Linked DNA regions of Schizosaccharomyces pombe. The gene in region 3 interacts genetically with the main gene of each other region. Each region holds a gene or a part of one and is shown on either strand. Other genes may lie near its edges.

Evidence for each region.
Region 1: mutations in ryh1 (region 3) and set3 together harm fitness more than expected from each alone (negative genetic interaction), as found in Schizosaccharomyces pombe (2 studies listed by BioGRID).
Region 2: mutations in ryh1 (region 3) and ufd2 together harm fitness more than expected from each alone (negative genetic interaction), as found in Schizosaccharomyces pombe (2 studies listed by BioGRID).

What each region holds. Positions count from the first base shown.
Region 1 is NC_003424.3:5,039,030-5,044,703, forward strand, and holds set3 (putative histone H3 lysine methyltransferase Set3), read right to left. Parts: upstream 3,716-5,674; 5' UTR 3,453-3,715; coding exon 873-3,452; 3' UTR 517-872; downstream 1-516. Other genes in the region: etp1 (monooxygenase-ferredoxin fusion protein), read right to left, coding at 1-74; ribosome biogenesis protein rlp24, read right to left, coding at 4,768-5,202, 5,450-5,588, 5,639-5,643. UniProt on the Schizosaccharomyces pombe protein: Transcriptional regulator that acts via the formation of large multiprotein complexes that modify and/or remodel the chromatin. Required for both gene activation and repression.
Region 2 is NC_003424.3:2,126,470-2,132,229, reverse strand, and holds ufd2 (ubiquitin-protein ligase E4), read right to left. Parts: upstream 3,790-5,760; 5' UTR 3,768-3,789; coding exon 3,750-3,767; exon of another isoform or gene 3,742-3,749; intron 3,708-3,741; coding exon 2,964-3,707; intron 2,918-2,963; coding exon 721-2,917; intron 681-720; coding exon 607-680; 3' UTR 517-606; downstream 1-516. Other genes in the region: Rho family GTPase Rho5, read left to right, coding at 1-335; gih35 (ATP-dependent RNA helicase), read right to left, coding at 3,871-3,959, 3,998-4,318, 4,361-4,529, 4,578-4,679, 4,726-5,497, 5,534-5,760. UniProt on the Schizosaccharomyces pombe protein: E4 ubiquitin chain-elongation enzyme specifically involved in polyubiquitin chain assembly.
Region 3 is NC_003424.3:1,192,189-1,196,953, reverse strand, and holds ryh1 (Rab family GTPase Ryh1), read left to right. Parts: upstream 1-1,808; 5' UTR 1,809-1,917; coding exon 1,918-2,040; exon of another isoform or gene 2,041-2,083; coding exon 2,084-2,243; intron 2,244-2,320; exon of another isoform or gene 2,321-2,322; coding exon 2,323-2,434; exon of another isoform or gene 2,435-2,546; coding exon 2,547-2,757; 3' UTR 2,758-3,340; coding exon of another isoform or gene 3,341-3,757; 3' UTR 3,758-3,808; coding exon of another isoform or gene 3,809-3,892; 3' UTR 3,893-3,943; coding exon of another isoform or gene 3,944-4,038; 3' UTR 4,039-4,112; coding exon of another isoform or gene 4,113-4,175; 3' UTR 4,176-4,249; downstream 4,250-4,765. Other genes in the region: pseudouridine-5'-phosphatase Pud1, read right to left, coding at 3,341-3,757, 3,809-3,892, 3,944-4,038, 4,113-4,175, 4,250-4,292, 4,362-4,409. UniProt on the Schizosaccharomyces pombe protein: Has a role in retrograde traffricking of proteins from the endosome to the Golgi. Involved in protein transport to the plasma membrane. Involved in the secretory pathway where it has a role in acid phosphatase secretion.

The DNA.
Region 1 (5,674 bases), 3.8 Mb from region 3:
GAAATGTCGCAGCCTTTCCGTAAGGGCTGAAGCAGGAACTGTCTCATCAGACCTGATGAACGTGAAATGTTCATTGGTAATTGTTTACTTTTGTTTGCGTTTCGCTTAAAAAAGTAGGTTCATGGAGAGAGAGGAATGGTACCTAACCTCCCGGTTCTATACCACAATAATCTAACGGCGCACTTTCAGAGTCGCTATAAGTAGACAAGCTATATTAACGTAGGCCGTTTGATATATACAAGATCTGAGTGGATCGTCGATGAATAGTTTAATTTGATGCGACAATTCGCTGAAATCTGCACGTAGCATATTTGAATCGATGTTTATATTTATGATACTTAATACTCAAAATGTACTAGCTTCATTTGCGTATCCAAAAAGTTATTTAATCTAGTACATGTCGCATACGGAAATAGCTGACATCTTAAATAGTTAGTTCTTATAATCTTACGAACCGAAACTTCTATATGACAAACATAAATCATTTAACTGCTATAAATTAATATTATTATATTGTACAATGTTCTAAACGTGCAAATTAGGAACAGAAAAATGCAACGACTGAGGGTTCGTTGCTCTGAATCAAAAGAAACTAAAAAAAAAAAAAGGAACTAGAGTTTTCGCCCAAACACTTAGTCATTAAATATTTACAAACGAAGAAGAAAAGAATGCAGAAGCAGGTGACAGTAAAATATGCTCCGAGTACCAATCATCATAATAAAAAAATGAAATGAAAATACATATGAAGGTAAAAAGATGCAGTCATCGTACCAACTTTAGAATCGTGAAAACTTGTTCGTATACCATATCCAATAAAAAAAATCATCCACACATTTATATGGTTTCAAGATTTACAACATCTTCTAGAATTTTTATCGCGTAAATGAAGGGTTAGAAACTGTAGCAGCAGGAACGGTGTGAGGCCTAGCTGTATCGCCATGTGCTTGATTATCCTTCGACTGTTGATGCAGAATGTTTTGTTGACGTCGTTGTCGATACTCAGAAAGAGATAGCTTCTTCGGTGCTGAGGTAGGAAGAGCAGAGGCTGAAGTGTTACTAGGCTTGACTACACTTCCTTGGACCAGATTCGAATTGGGCTTGTTTTCGCTTCTTGAAGTATTTAACGCATTCGAGATATCATCACCGTTGTTGGCTTTGTGGTCCAAAATGTTTGGATTGTTCGTAGGAAATTGGTTGTTTACCAAAGCATGGCGACTCGTTATAACTGGTGCTGGAGCTGTCGGCAAAGGAGGCGTAGTTACAGGAGATTTATCAAACGAAAACCCGACAGGACTAACCGAAGGTGAATGGGATCGAGTGCCATTCTGTCTAGAAAAGTTAACGTCAGAAGACCTTTGAGTGTCGTGAACATGCGATTTATCTTTTACAGTCCTTAACGTATTAAAAAACATGGACCCACTCTTTTCTTTACTCGACGGCTCGAGTTTCAATTTTGAATCTGAATTTCTATGGAAAGAAGGATGGACCTTATGTGGTCTGTCACCTTTAGTCTTAAAGGCTTCCGGCTTCCTTTCGATAGATAGCGATCTTTTATTATAATCAGGTTTGCCATGAAAATCATTTGCAATGCTACGGCGTCTTTTAACTGACGGCAAATGATCAACAGAACCATGCTTTTTGTGGACTGTCGTAATAGTTCCTAATCCTCTTTTGCAAGGAGAAGTTTTGTCCAGCATATCTGGGCTTGTTCGAGGATGTTGTAATGGTGAGGCTGATCGCCTACTTAGTGATTCTCCAACATTAAAAGATGGAGGAGTTGTAGGGGTTATCGAGGATTCTTCAGGTTCCTTTGCTTTTTTCAATGGACCATCGGATTGTAATGCAGCATCGGGTGAAATGGGCGATAAGACGTCTGCAATGCCCACCTTAGAATCAGTGTGTAAATCAGCAATATCAGTTTTCTTGTCCCTATTAGAGGAATCTTCCTCAACAGAGGGTAGTGGAGATTGTAAATCTTTAGTTGGTTTTTTCTCCTTCACAGATGGCTGTAACTTCGGCTCCATGACTACATCGATTCCTACACTTTCTGTGGGTAATGACTTAACAGCAGGCCATTTTTGCAAAATACTAAGACGGTACTTATCTAACCAAAACTCTTTCAAGGATTTGGCATAGACCGATGTGGGGTTTGAAGGTTGCGGTAATGATTCAGCAGGGCTAGGGGTAGAAGGGGTTGAGGAAGGTGTCAGAGACAAACGGTCTTTTGCTACACTGACACGGTTTGCAGTAGAAGCGCGGCGGGCCGCTTTAATATATTTAGTAACTCTGGAAAAAACACAGTTTTTCTTATCCTGTGAGGCACATTCGTTAAACGACAGGAAGGTAGAAAGCACTTCTGAAAGTAATTCCAACTCTTCCATATTGAAGGAGGGTCGCGACATACCAGGCGCAAACTGGCGAAATGGATGGGAAATATCGAGAGTCCAATCCCCAATAATCTCTGTTTCCGGAGCTATGTGAGTAGTTGAATAGAGGATAAATCGAGGAACACTGTTAGACCCATTCATGTAAACACTTGAAACGACGGAGTTTGACTGACAACCTTTACGCGCAAACCTCGCTTTTGAACCAGCAACCCGTGAGTCAACAACAAGCTGAGAATTTGAGTCAAAAAAGACATGTGGCTTAGGAGCCCCCAAAATATTGTACTGGTTTTTGGGATCACTTTTGTATTCATTCTGCGTACAAACCCTTCCTTTCACCTCCATAATGGGTGTATTTGGAGGAATTTCGCAAGTTGACACCAAACCAAAGCGACTACAACAAAACTTTGAAGATGATATAGGTACGACTTGGCATCCATCCATTAAAACTTCGGATTCATCTAAATTCTTTAAATCCAAATTCTTAGAATACTCAAGCGCAGATGCAGAAAAGGTGTTTGATTCCAAAGGGACGTATTCCAAGTGAAACGAATACACATATTCGTTAGAAGCCTCGGTGATTGGAGCCTCTGGTGGGTTGTTAAGGTGGTTGGATCTTCGTCTGCGATTCTGAGAATGTGGAGCATGAGCATTGGGCAATGTTGCACCAGTCACACTGTTACGATAAGACCCCGAGTTCGAAGAGTTGGTAGACTGTGAAAATAAAGCGCCATTAGCGCCTGTGTTATTGCCTTGTCTCGGTGACGCAGAGTGTGTAGGACTAGCACCATTTTTGCCAAAACTAGTTCTTCTCTTGTTGTTGGAAGAACGGGATCGCGATAATATCCTAGACTGCTCTTCTTCGCGCTGTAACCTAGCTAGTTGAATTTTATGCGCCTTGTCGGCATCGATAGGACGAGGTTGGCATTGTTCACAAAAATATTTTTCAGGAACATTATTTGCATCTATGTTTACACAAACGGCGTGTTGCCATACCTCGCAACTTTCGCATTGGATGGTGAATCCGTCATCATCCTCGAATGGACAAACGCATCGTATTTTCCACATGCTAACTTAACCAAAGAGAAAACGATCAACTTATAACAAAGTAAAGAAGTATTTCATAAACGCTAATTTCTGTACAGGAGCAATTTAACCTTGGAAATTACTGCTTTCTTATGAAAGCAAAGATTTTAGCCCCAACTATACCAATGGCTATCTCGATTATCTGAACTCTCCTAAAACTAGGAATCTAGTATATAAATACTCGAAAAACCATGTAAGTTGAACAAATACTCTGTTTTCAATTTGCATACGCGATTTTGGTAGTTGATACGACGTCGCGATTATTCCGCTCTTCAACATTTCCATCCACCGAGTGTAAACACACGTCCCATAAACCACGTTTCCGCAGTCTAACGTCTCCTCGGTAAAAACAAAGAGAAGAAGATGTTGAAGAATAGTTCATTTCTCTATGAAACTTCTCATTTTACATATTTTAGAAGGTAATAAAACTGTCAAGGAGTTTTTAATGAGTCTTGCTAAGAAACCATTTTGAAAAAAAAAAATCATCTACTAAGACAATGAGTTGAGATAAACGGCAGGTGCAATGTGTCAGTAGTTAGCTAATGTATGGTGTTAGTGAGTGTGCGCAAGCAATCGAAAACGTCAATAACGGACTCGCAACTCTAAAGAATTAACAACCTTTAGCATTGGACTGTAGGGTTTAAACAGCTTTACAAGGAGAGGGATCTGTTTTCATGAGTTCCACAGTGATATGAGACTTGAATAGGCTTGTCAACTATAGAGAAATGTATATGCAAGGAAACCAGCATAAATGACAAAGTCTTTACTGTTTTATGACTTACTAAATATACCTCATGGAGAATTGAATCCAAATAATGAAGCAATGTTCTATCGTTCTAGTAGAATTTTACATTTCGAAGAGGCATTTGTGATAAACGAAACTAATAATATAAACCAATTTATTCCTAAACAACCATTTTTCAAACTGTTAGACTGTTGTATCTTGTACAAGCTCCAAACTGAAGATAGGTTCGTTTACAAGTATGTATACACGAAAATCCATTATTAACCATATTAATCTGCACGTAGCATGCAAGTCCAAAGAAGTAACCAAACGAGAAGAGAAGCCGAAACCAAATGCCAACTTTAGATATGCAAGATAAATTTTAAAAAACACGTTTTCGAAGTGTCTAAAGAGTTCGAAAGTGTAAGAAAACCACTCCCCAAAAATGTCTTCTCTTCTACTATTTTGTAAATTTGAAAGGAATAAAACAATAAAATAAAATAAAATAAAAGAACGAAGCGGGACGCAACCAACGGAAGATCGAGAGTTACATTTTTGTAGGAAGAAGAGTGTTTAGTCCATTTGCATGGCTGAAGATGAGTTTCGAGATTTCTTGTTTTTGCGTTTTTTGGCGAGGACGGGAATCTTGACAGGTTCTGCAACTTCTTCTTCCATGGTATACTCCTCGTCGGAAACAATTTGGGGTTCTTGTACCTCAGCAGTTTCAACCTCACCTTCGGGTTCGGTAAATTGAGGAACATTTTGAGCAATGAGTTTTTGAGCTTCTTGAAGCTCTTGGGCACGTTTGCCAGCCAATCTCTTTTTGTAAAACAGACGCTCTCTCTTGGCATGAACTTGGCTAACCCGTTTCATGGCATTCAAAGTAGTTGCAATGACATTACGGTCGTAACGAACAGGAACATTTCTACGAGCTGCGGTAACTGCGAGAGCTGTGTCATAAACCATTTCCTTTCCATGTGCCTTACGGTACGCTTTGGTCCAAGCAACCTAGACATTGAAGTTAGTATACATACATATAGGTGGAAGCAAAACATTTAAAAAAACAATAGAAAACTTTCTTCGTTCATGGGCATATAAAGGAAAAAGTACACCATTTAAGGTAGAATTTGAAGAAGAAAAGTATCATTTCAAAACAAGGCAACAGAAAAAAATTTTTCCTCTTTCAAAATCAATCATCTTCCTCAACCAAGTCTGTATAACGTTTTTGCATTCCTTTATTATAAAAAAAACATACCTTACGAGGATTGCGCTTCATTTTGAAGTTCTTATGGCACTTGCTGCGACAGAAACGAAAGACCTTGGAGTCATTTCTAACAAACATTATTCCATGTCCTGGGTAAACAGGACCCGAGCAGAAATAGCAAGTATGTACCCTAAATTTCCGTTAGTAATAAATACTTTGAAGGCATTTAGCTCTACAAACCTCATATTCCCCCTAAATTCTTTCCCGTCCTTGTAT
Region 2 (5,760 bases), 930 kb from region 3:
CAGAGAGTTTGGACAATGTTCAAGAAAAATGGATTTCTGAAGTTCTTCACTTCTGCTCCAATTTACCCATTTTGCTAGTTGGGTGTAAAGTGGATTTACGAAACGATCCAAAAACAATCGAAGAGCTCTCCAAAACCTCACAGAAGCCTATCACATTTGAAGAAGGACAGGTAGTAGCTCAAAAGATTGGCGCCTATAAGTATCTCGAATGTTCAGCGAAATTGAACGAAGGGGTCAATGAGGTTTTTGAGACTGCAGCTCGTGCTTCCATGCTTAAATTTAAGCCTGCTAGTGTACCGAAGACAAAAAAGAAGAAGCACTGTATCTTACTCTGATGAAATGCAATCTCTGTTATGGTGTATAAGAGCGTTCTATTAATTACATTCTGTATTGTTAGATTCACTATATTCATTTATCCTCTTGTGCAAAGGAATTATTTTACGAGCTTAACCTTTGTGGTACCGTACACCAAGTTTTTTATCCTTCGAATCATTACCTAATGAGTTTCCATGAATGTTTAAATATTTCATAGTAATTAATTGTCTAATCTTTTATTTAAACTTATCGAAGCCTTTCATTAAAAAACTAGTATAAACACAGTTATATTCATTCACTATTTCGCGAATGTTTGTTGCGTTTTGATTTCAGGAACGTGTTAATTTCCTCACGTAATGTATCATCTAAAGAATTAGTAACTAACAGTGGAAAAAAAAAACTTACTCGGTGTCACATCATCAAGCGTTAATGGAGTTCGATTAAATGGGTCGGTGGCATCACTTAGTAGATGTGCTTTAATAGTAGACCTATCAATCGAAATGCCAGATCTCGGTAAAACAACAGGATCTTTCATTATTGTAAACATAAGAGGATCTAAGAAGTAGTCAGGAATATCACCCATGTCTTCCTCTTCAGTAGCCTCTTGCAATCTGAATGCCTCTACCCTATTCACAAATTCTTTAATAGCTTCTATATCAAAAGATGACTTGAGGTTGTGCTTAGTCATAATGCTAGTCGCACGTTCAAATATTTCTTTACTATAAGAACGGCCATCGTGAGCAACAGCTTCGACAAATGCAGGTTCATTGCACAGGTTAAGATAAACATCGAAAATAATCGACAAAAGGGTTTTTGCATTAAAATGATATTTCGTTGGGTCCTCTACCTTGAGGTTACTACACTTAGGGCCACATAAAGCTTGAAGGTTATAGTTTAGCATAGCTGCCAACCGATCTACAATTTCAACGGCACAAAAGGCTTTAGGAATTGAGGAAGTGAACAATTTGAGCATAAAAATAGTTTCATTCCCTAACTGGCAATAAGTAGAAGCTTGACGTTCTGCGGCCGCTAAGTTGCTTTGCGATTCTTGAACATTCTGGTTAGAGTTGCTATTGCTTATTGCATCTGCCAAAAGGCTCTGAAGGTTGTGAATCTCGGTTAGTTTTAAAAGAGCCTCATCAAGAAGATATGTAGCATCATTAAGCATGAGAGCTACAAATTTAACAAAAAACGGCAAATTTGTTTTTTGCTCCTGCTCCAGCTTACCAAAATAGGCTGGTTGCTTCCAAATAGTTCTAAATACTTCGCATATATAGAAACGAATGTTGAATTTATCATAAAATTGGGTAGATTGTCCTGTAGATTCAATCTCAATATAAAACGCCATAAGTGCTGGAAGTAACCACCTTGTTGCAACCTTCGACGTACGTACAACATCTAACAACAATTCTGATCTTCCCACGTGCGTTTGCACTCCAAAGTATAAAATCTCGGCAAGTTTCGCTCGCAAATAAGGATTTTTGATATAATTAGCTTGAGTTAGAAACGACACACAAAATTCACACAAAGGCTCTAAGGAATGCAGCGTCAAAGTACTCGACGAGGTTTTAAATAAAGACAACATATAATCTGTAATGGTTTCAATAAAATATTCAGGTAAACATTTGAAAGCTTCCGGTGCATTTTCATTAAACGGTAACGATAGCGGCATTTTTGGATATGTCGAAGATTGACCATCAGCTAACCTCGATAACCAAATGGCAACGAAATTAAGAAAAGAAAATGATCTTGAAGTATCAGATGTCTGCGTAAGCATAATCTCATAACAGTGCACAAACGATCTATCTAAATCCAATCTTTGATCAAGCCGACTTAATTGAGCAGTGAGACGTGTCGCTTGAAAACTACCGCTCATATTTTGCTGTTCAGTCTCTAATCTTTCTTTCAGTTTCTCGCTATCACGAATTGATTGCACAAGTTGCTCTAAAGCCTTAAAGGTAGCATTTACACCATAATGATGAAATGCGAGATTTAAAAAAAATATGTCTGAAATAAAGTTATTGGAACCCTCGGCTGGTTTTGAATAAAACGATTCCGAAGCCTTTTGATCAGCATTCAATTTAGTCTCTTCTTTGATATCAACGCGAGGGTTTCTCCTAAAATATTCAACTTGTACTCTGTCAATTTTCGAACATCCTATGTCAAGAAATGGTTCAGAAAGTCTGCTTAACACATGTGAAAAATTTAGCATGCAGGCGTCAGATGTAATATCAAAATGATTAACTTGAATGGATTGTCGCTTGTGATTGGCATTTACCACCATGGCAAAGAAATCCAACACAGACTCTCTCAAAGATGTAGATGTTCGAATGAGGGTATTGAAAATTTGAAAAAGGACATCCTGATAAGTAGACATAGTCAATTTTAAAGAACTTATTGACGAAGATATATTTTGGGCTGATCTCTCAGTAGAATTGGAAAAATATCGAGAAGCGACATCTTGAGTAAACACTGACAAGCTTGATATTCTTCCAAGAAACGTTTTGTACTCAATTTCTCCAGCATTATTCGTAGGATTCCAAGAAGGCAACTTCGGCAAAAGTAATGCAATTGGTTTTAATGACACAAGTTGTAATATAATCTAAAAATATCAGTTTATGCTAAAAGATAAAAATTGATGTTCATACCTGCATCACATTCATTTGAACAGTATCTACATTCATAAGACCAATTTTCAAAGATAAAGATTCCAACACAGGAATAAACAATTCATCTAAGTTTTCGTGTTCAAACCTCTGAACAAATTCTGATAGAAATTCCAAAGGTATACCTTCTGCACCAATTAAAACCTCGGCCAAATCAATTGTCTCCGAATTGAATGTGTCAGGAAGCATTACTACAATACCGGCATAACTGACAAGCAAACTTTTTAACAGAGATAAATAGTGAATTTTAAAGTCCTGGTTTTCATCCTTCGGAAGTCTCTTTTTATACTGATACAGAAAACTCCAAGACTGTAACAAATAAGAGAAAGTATTGTTGCCAGTTGTTGACAGTCGAGAGAGTAACGCAGAGTCAACATTATTCTCATTAAATAATAAAGGGGATCCCTCTTCTTCTAAATCTTTTTTAAAACCTTCTAAATAGTATTTTGATGAATCAGTTTCACTTAATGTAATATTAAGAGCCTGACATGTTATAAAATGCATCCATTCATCCTTAGAAAACAAGCGATGTTTTGGAGCACCAGATGTAACAGGTGGAGATATTTCTTTTTGTTCTGAATTTGATGTTGTAGCCTTTGAACCAATAAATCTCTTTTTTAAATCAGGTTTTTTAGGTTCAGGTGCAATATTGCTTTCCTTAGGTTCTTTAGAAGAATTTGCCTCCGAATTGGTCTGCTGCAATTTAGCAAGCCTTTTAAGACGAATCTATGGGCCAATATTAGCAATTAGCTGAAATTTTTCTCTTACCTTTTCCAAATCACTCATAATGGGGTGGATTGAGCAAGTTGGTGGAAGTGAGGTCAACATATGTTTTAACTACCAAAACTTACTATGCTAAACCGGTAACATGAAATTGTATTAACATATATTATTTTTCTCGTTTATAGTATTTATCCAGCCAAAAACTTTCTATTTTAGAAATATTCTTCACGAATATTTGAGTTTCTGATTCGACAGCTAAAACGTTAAAATAGTCTTATAACAAATAGGCTTACCTGAAGAATACATGATCCATGGTGTTTTTTTTTCATGAAGTACACTACTAGAGTCTAACCAAACCTGCTTTCCTCCTATTGTTTTGTAAGAGCCGTCATTCTGTAAATGTGCGACGTTACGCACAAAACCATCAAGTAGGCATTTCAAAATTTTGGAACAATCACTGGATGGTAATCTTTGAGCAGTAGGTATAGAAAATTTATTTAAAAAACGAACCAAATGAGTGCGAATGTCAAGGGCTTGGCGCAAAGTTTGATAGTTCAAATAATTTTTCCTGCACCATTGTAAATCTTTTTTGTTACCGACAAAAGATTCAAAAACTAAATGTTAATACACTTTTAAACTTTATTAATGAAGCATACCATTTAATGCGGTAATGATGTCCCCTTCATTTGCAAAAAAAGAAGAATGGGCAACGAAGGCATCATTCTTTGATGAACTTGTGGGATTATAAAATACTTCGCCTGCTGTAAGTATTGAAGCAATTGAAAGAATTTCATGAGTGCAACCAAATTGGTTGGAAGTAAGTAACTAATGATGGGTTAGCGTGTACTTTATTTCCTATATGGGAGTACGTACAGCTTTGGAGATGTTTGCATCCAAGAATGAGTTGGAAATTTGTATGCCAAGTGGGTCTGTCAAATTTCCACTTTCGTCCAAGACACCTAAAAGATAGAGGTCCTTCAAAAAAATTAGTTGTTTGCCGGCTATAATAAAATTCACAAACCTCTAGAGCCGCCATAAGGTGAACTGTGGGAGGACGGACAAAAAAGGGAAACTGAAGTATGTTTTTTAGCCCTAAACCTTTCAAAAATAACACCAACGGTGACATATCGCAATTTAAGATGTCTGCTTCAAATTCTTCTTTCATCAAGCTGTAAGCTTTTTCAGTATATAGACGGAACACCTTTCCCCTCATTGTCCTTCCAGCTCTTCCACTTCTCTGTATAGCACTTGACTTAGATATAGGCACGTTAATCAATTTTGAAGTCCTTGTATACGGGTTGTATATCCGTTGTTTATTAAAACCTGAATCAACGACATAAACTATGCCATCAATAGTAATACTAGTCTCAGCAATATTCGTAGAAAATATAACTTTTCTGAAGTCACCATCATATATGTTAAAAACTCGCATTTGCTCGTCAACAGTAAGACCAGCATGTAAAGGTAAAGGAACTAAAGTTTGACAGTCTTCGGAAGCATGAATTAAGGAATCTTCAATCTTTTTTATACAGTATTCTATTTCTTTTCTTCCCGAAAGAAAAACCAATATATCACCAGGCGGATAGGTTGAATTAATGTTTATAACCGTTTCGATTGCAGAATCAACGTAATTTTCTGTAGGTTTCTGCAAAAATAATGTTTCTACGGGGAATAATTTCCCTTCAATTGACATAGTGCATACTTTATCTTGTCCGAAAAACTGAGACAGTTTATTCGCGTCAACAGAAGCGCTGGAGAGCACAAGTCTAAAATCATTCCTCTTTTCTAAAATCCTTGATTTGTCAGCTATGAATAGAAAATTTAAATACCTTTTCAAAACTCCTAGTAGGAGATCTGTCGACAAAGTTCGTTCATGGACTTCGTCGAGAATGACTATTGAATATCTTTCCAGCAAAGGATCAAAAAATATTTCATTCAAAAGGATTCCATCGGTCATATATTTTATTTTTGTTTTTTCAGAAACGTTATGATCAAATTGAATGCTATATCCACACAAACTTCCAGGAGGAGAGTTCAGTTCCAAAGATACTCGTTC
Region 3 (4,765 bases):
AGAAATGCAATACGAAGTTAATTTCTAATGCTTTGTATAAAAATATATAAATAAACGATGCCTGGGCTGCCAATAATGGTACGATGAAGTAAAGGTTGCTAACTTTGGGGCTTATTGAACAAGCGTCACTAAGGAAAGACAATTTAAAATTTCCTTTTGAAATAATTGGTGTTTAATAAATAAGTAAAAGGAAGAATCGCCAAAAAATTGGATTTTTCATTTAATTTTGTCGAAAATGGGGAAAGGAGAGGCAGTGTAAGCTACATTAGTCGGAGGGCTTAGACACAAAGTTGTGAGCTGTAACGTATAATATTGAAATTTTGCGATATTTAAAGTGCTATAAATTTGACATTGGAGAAAATAAATAAGTAAATAAACAATGAATTATAGAAGAAGATAAAAGGAACTGAATGAATTGTATATCTTAATAAACTAGGTAAATTTTTTTCTCTTTTAAAAACATGAGTGAAATGAAATGGCGCTACACATCTAAAAATTGAAATACATCAAGACACTTTACAAAAAAATTTCTAAATTGAATCTAAAATCAAGTTCTTTTGTTTTTAACCCCATTATCTTTTTAAAGATTCTAAATAATCTAAATTAATCGTTTGAACCAAATTTTTTATAGGATATATAACTACATATTTACTTTTTAAATTCTTTTTCATCTTATCATTAAATTCCGAGATTTTTTATTCCAAACAGCAGCTAATAATTATGAAATAACTTAGTTTTTAATTCTCTTATCTTTCTTGAACTTTTCGTCATATTGCAATAAGGATACAAATAAAAAAAAAATTTATTTTTAAAAGAATCTAAGCTTGAAAAGCCATACTATTTACTCTTTTATTGATTTCGAAAATTATTAAATTAAAACCCACTAACTAACCTGTTATTGTTGACATTAAGTATAAAATTTGACTTGGCTGTTCCGTAGCTAATTGTATCATTAATGAAATGACCGAGTTTGCTAAATTAACTCGAGTATATTTTCCTGTAAAGCTTATATTTTGCTTAAATCTGACTCGTTTAACAGCTAGTTTTATTCAAGTTAACAAACATACATTTTTCGAACAGTTTGGTGCAGTCTGCCAATCTTGAACTTGGTAGCAGACAGGATGCGTAGATTATGAAACATTCTAATAAAATTTCAAATGGAATAAAGCCATTATGTTGAATTTCAAGCTTGTTCTATGGTTTAACTACTTTCCATTTTCCTTCTTTCATCAGCTACTAAACAAAAAAATTACCTTATACTTTACTAATATGCTGAAGCCTTCAATGTTTGGGCATGTGATGCAGTGGTAGCATGCTCGCTTTGCATGCGAGTCGTCCTGGGTTCAATCCCCAGCGTGTCCAATATTTTTTTGTAAACTTAGCTACTCTCAGCAAAAATTAGGCCATTCCAATCGAGAGATTTCTTGTATTATATAGTTTAATGATAATCAAATCTCGATGACTCCTCCTTCCCATGCGATGTGGCGCGTTTTTATCCCAGTTGTCATTCCTTGAAATGTTGTGTATAAAACTATGAGTAGTAAACAAACTGTTGTTACAGCTGTATGTTTTTTAACACCCAAAAACCTATCACTATCAACAACTCAAAGAAAAAGAACCCATCTTTAGGAATGCTTAGTAATTTAAGAACGGTGAGAGTTCATGATTTCTTTTTCAGCGAAAAAGTTGTTTGTTATAGAATTACTTTACCGAGATTAAACTTCGTAAAAGCGAATGAAAAGTAAAACAAGCGAAAGTATATTAAGGATATGCGGCGGGATCTCACTGTAGCACGATAGTCTTTACTCACTACTACCACTATTAAGTACGGTGCTTTTTGATCATCAATAAGCAATTCCGTCTGTATCTAAATTACTTTTGTCTGTGTATATTTAGAAGTCAAAACTTTTTGTCATAATGTCAGAAAATTACTCGTTTTCTTTGCGTAAATTTAAGTTGGTTTTTCTCGGTGAGCAGTCAGTTGGCAAAACATCGTTAATTACACGATTTATGTACGATCAGTTTGATAATACTTATCAAGTAAGTAACTATAATTAAAACTTCTTTACTAACAGGGTCCAAGGCTACTATTGGTATAGACTTTCTAAGCAAGACTATGTATTTGGAAGATCGAACGGTTCGTCTTCAACTATGGGATACTGCTGGTCAAGAACGTTTCCGTTCTTTAATTCCTTCGTATATTAGGGATTCTTCTGTTGCTATTATTGTTTACGATATCACTAGTAAGTAATAGTGGCACAGTAATTTTGCCATATATTTTTACTCAGACTTTATTTTCGAATATCTGCTAACTACTTATAGACCATAACTCTTTTGTAAATACTGAGAAATGGATTGAAGATGTTCGTGCTGAGCGGGGAGACGACGTTATAATTGTTCTCGTTGGTAATAAAACGGACTTGGCTGATAAAAGGTATGACACTCCAGCTAACAGAGATTCAGCATTTACAATGCGACATCTCTTCATTCATAATTCCAAAGCTATATTTTGGTTTTTGATGGTTCTTATGCTAACGGTGGTTTAGGCAAGTGACTCAAGAAGAAGGAGAAAAAAAGGCAAAAGAATTAAAAATAATGCACATGGAAACTAGTGCTAAAGCGGGTCACAATGTAAAACTGTTGTTTAGGAAAATTGCACAAATGTTACCAGGCATGGAGAATGTGGAAACACAAAGCACTCAAATGATTGACGTTAGCATTCAGCCTAACGAGAATGAAAGCAGCTGCAATTGCTAGTGTATCTCATTGAACATGTCAGTGTACTCTAACTGTTTCGTGAATTATTTTTTTTCGCTTCAGGCCGCAATCAGCGGTTTTTAATGTCATTTGACCCTCAAAAAGTATACTGTGAGTATATATATATCTTCTTATAGCCCCTAAATCTTTTGCACCTTTAAAGAATCGCGATTCCTTTTATACCTGTTTCCTTTTCCTTCTTTTTTTACTTGTTTTAGTCCTTTTTTATTTTAATCCTGTCTCTATGATATATGCTTTACAAAAGTGAGAAGTTGAATTTCTGAATAAGTCTCTTTCGTTTAATCCCTGCGGTGCTTCTTGACTTTTCAAGGGCATTTGCAAAGAAGGAAAAAAATTACAATGTATGATTTTGGAATTCAGAGAAATGTTATTATTTTTTTTTTTTTAGATTTCGCTTTTTCCCTTTACTCATAAGTTATTTATGCTATGTGAGTCAGTTCAAGGTTTTCATTGAAACAGTAGAACTTTATTTATACTTCAATTTTTTAATTTTATTAAAAGATATGAGGTTTTTTGCCAAAAAAAATTGAATGAACCAAAAAAAAGTTAGCGGATATAACCTCTAGGCCTGCTTTGAATTTATGTTAAGATATTTGTTTATATCAAACTCTGAAAGACTCGGTAACGTCTCACATTGAGAATCAACAATCTCATTCAGCTGATCCCCTACCAAGTTTTTGATGGCAGCATCTGGAACCCAAATGACATGCATTCCTGCAGCCTTTGCACTTTTGACACCGGGAATACTGTCTTCAAAGGCAATGCATTGGCTTGGTGTAAGTGCCTTCAAACCTCGCTGCTTCCTACTTTCATTTATTAAATTCAACACCTTCAGCCAAATGTCTGGAAAAGGTTTGCCACGACCAGGTGCAATACTAGGATTATCACCTGTAATAACATTTTTACCAAATTTCTCAAAAATATGTTTAAGATGGGCTGTCTTCATATTATAATTTGCGGTATTAGAGGAAGTAGCAAGCTGGTGATGCTGTTAGCACACTTTTATTATAGCGTAGGGATGAGTACATACCCCGATATCAATTCCATGATTGGAGAGGTTATTAATCAAAGATTCAGCCCCAGGCATAGGCTTCAAAGACGACCAAAACTTTGCCTTTCAGAAAGTTAGTTGAAATGGAAATAAATGTAGCGTATAAGTACGTACCCGAATAACCTGTTGTTCATCAACGAATTGTTGAGGAGTCATAGGAATGTTGGACCAATCTATAACAACCTTGGCAGCTGCGGAACCCGGTCTCCCTACGTATCGCAAGTTAGACCTGCAATTTTGAAAGCATTTTAAAATATCTCTTCGCTAGCTTTATATAACATACCCATCATTTGAGCCTTAACAGAAATAGGAAGAGGATCCTTGCCATACCTGTCCAATATAAGATCTATAAAAAAAATAAAGATTAGAAAACATTGTAGTTTTGTGCTAAATATAAGCACAGATATATTATTTACATACTGGTCGTCTTTGTATAAATAGTTTCACTGTCGACAAGTAGACCCTGTAAAAAGAGTGATTGTTAATGCAAAAGCTTTCATAAGAGGTAATGTGGTGTGAAAAATAAACATACATCCATATCGAATAGACAAGCCATGTATTTTACGTGTTTAGCAGCCATTTCTAGGTAAAAAGATAGTGAAGCTTCTACGACCTAACAAAACCAAAGAAAAAAAAAAGCAGAAAAAAAACTTCCGGGATATCCAAAAAATCAAGTTTCAAAAAAGTATATTGCTGTATAACCAATAAAAAAGTATAAAATCTTCCAAAACAAGAATTAACAATTAAATATACAAATACAATTAAAGAAAACAAAGACACCGACAAATGAAGTGTTAACTGTATATCTAATTAAAAAAATCCGCGAAAAACCAAAAAATAAGGACAGTTGTTAAAGATCAACAAAGAAACGTCGATACAGTAAGGCGTGATAATTAGGCAGAATGAAAAATAGCTAAATCCCAAAACTGTGCAAAC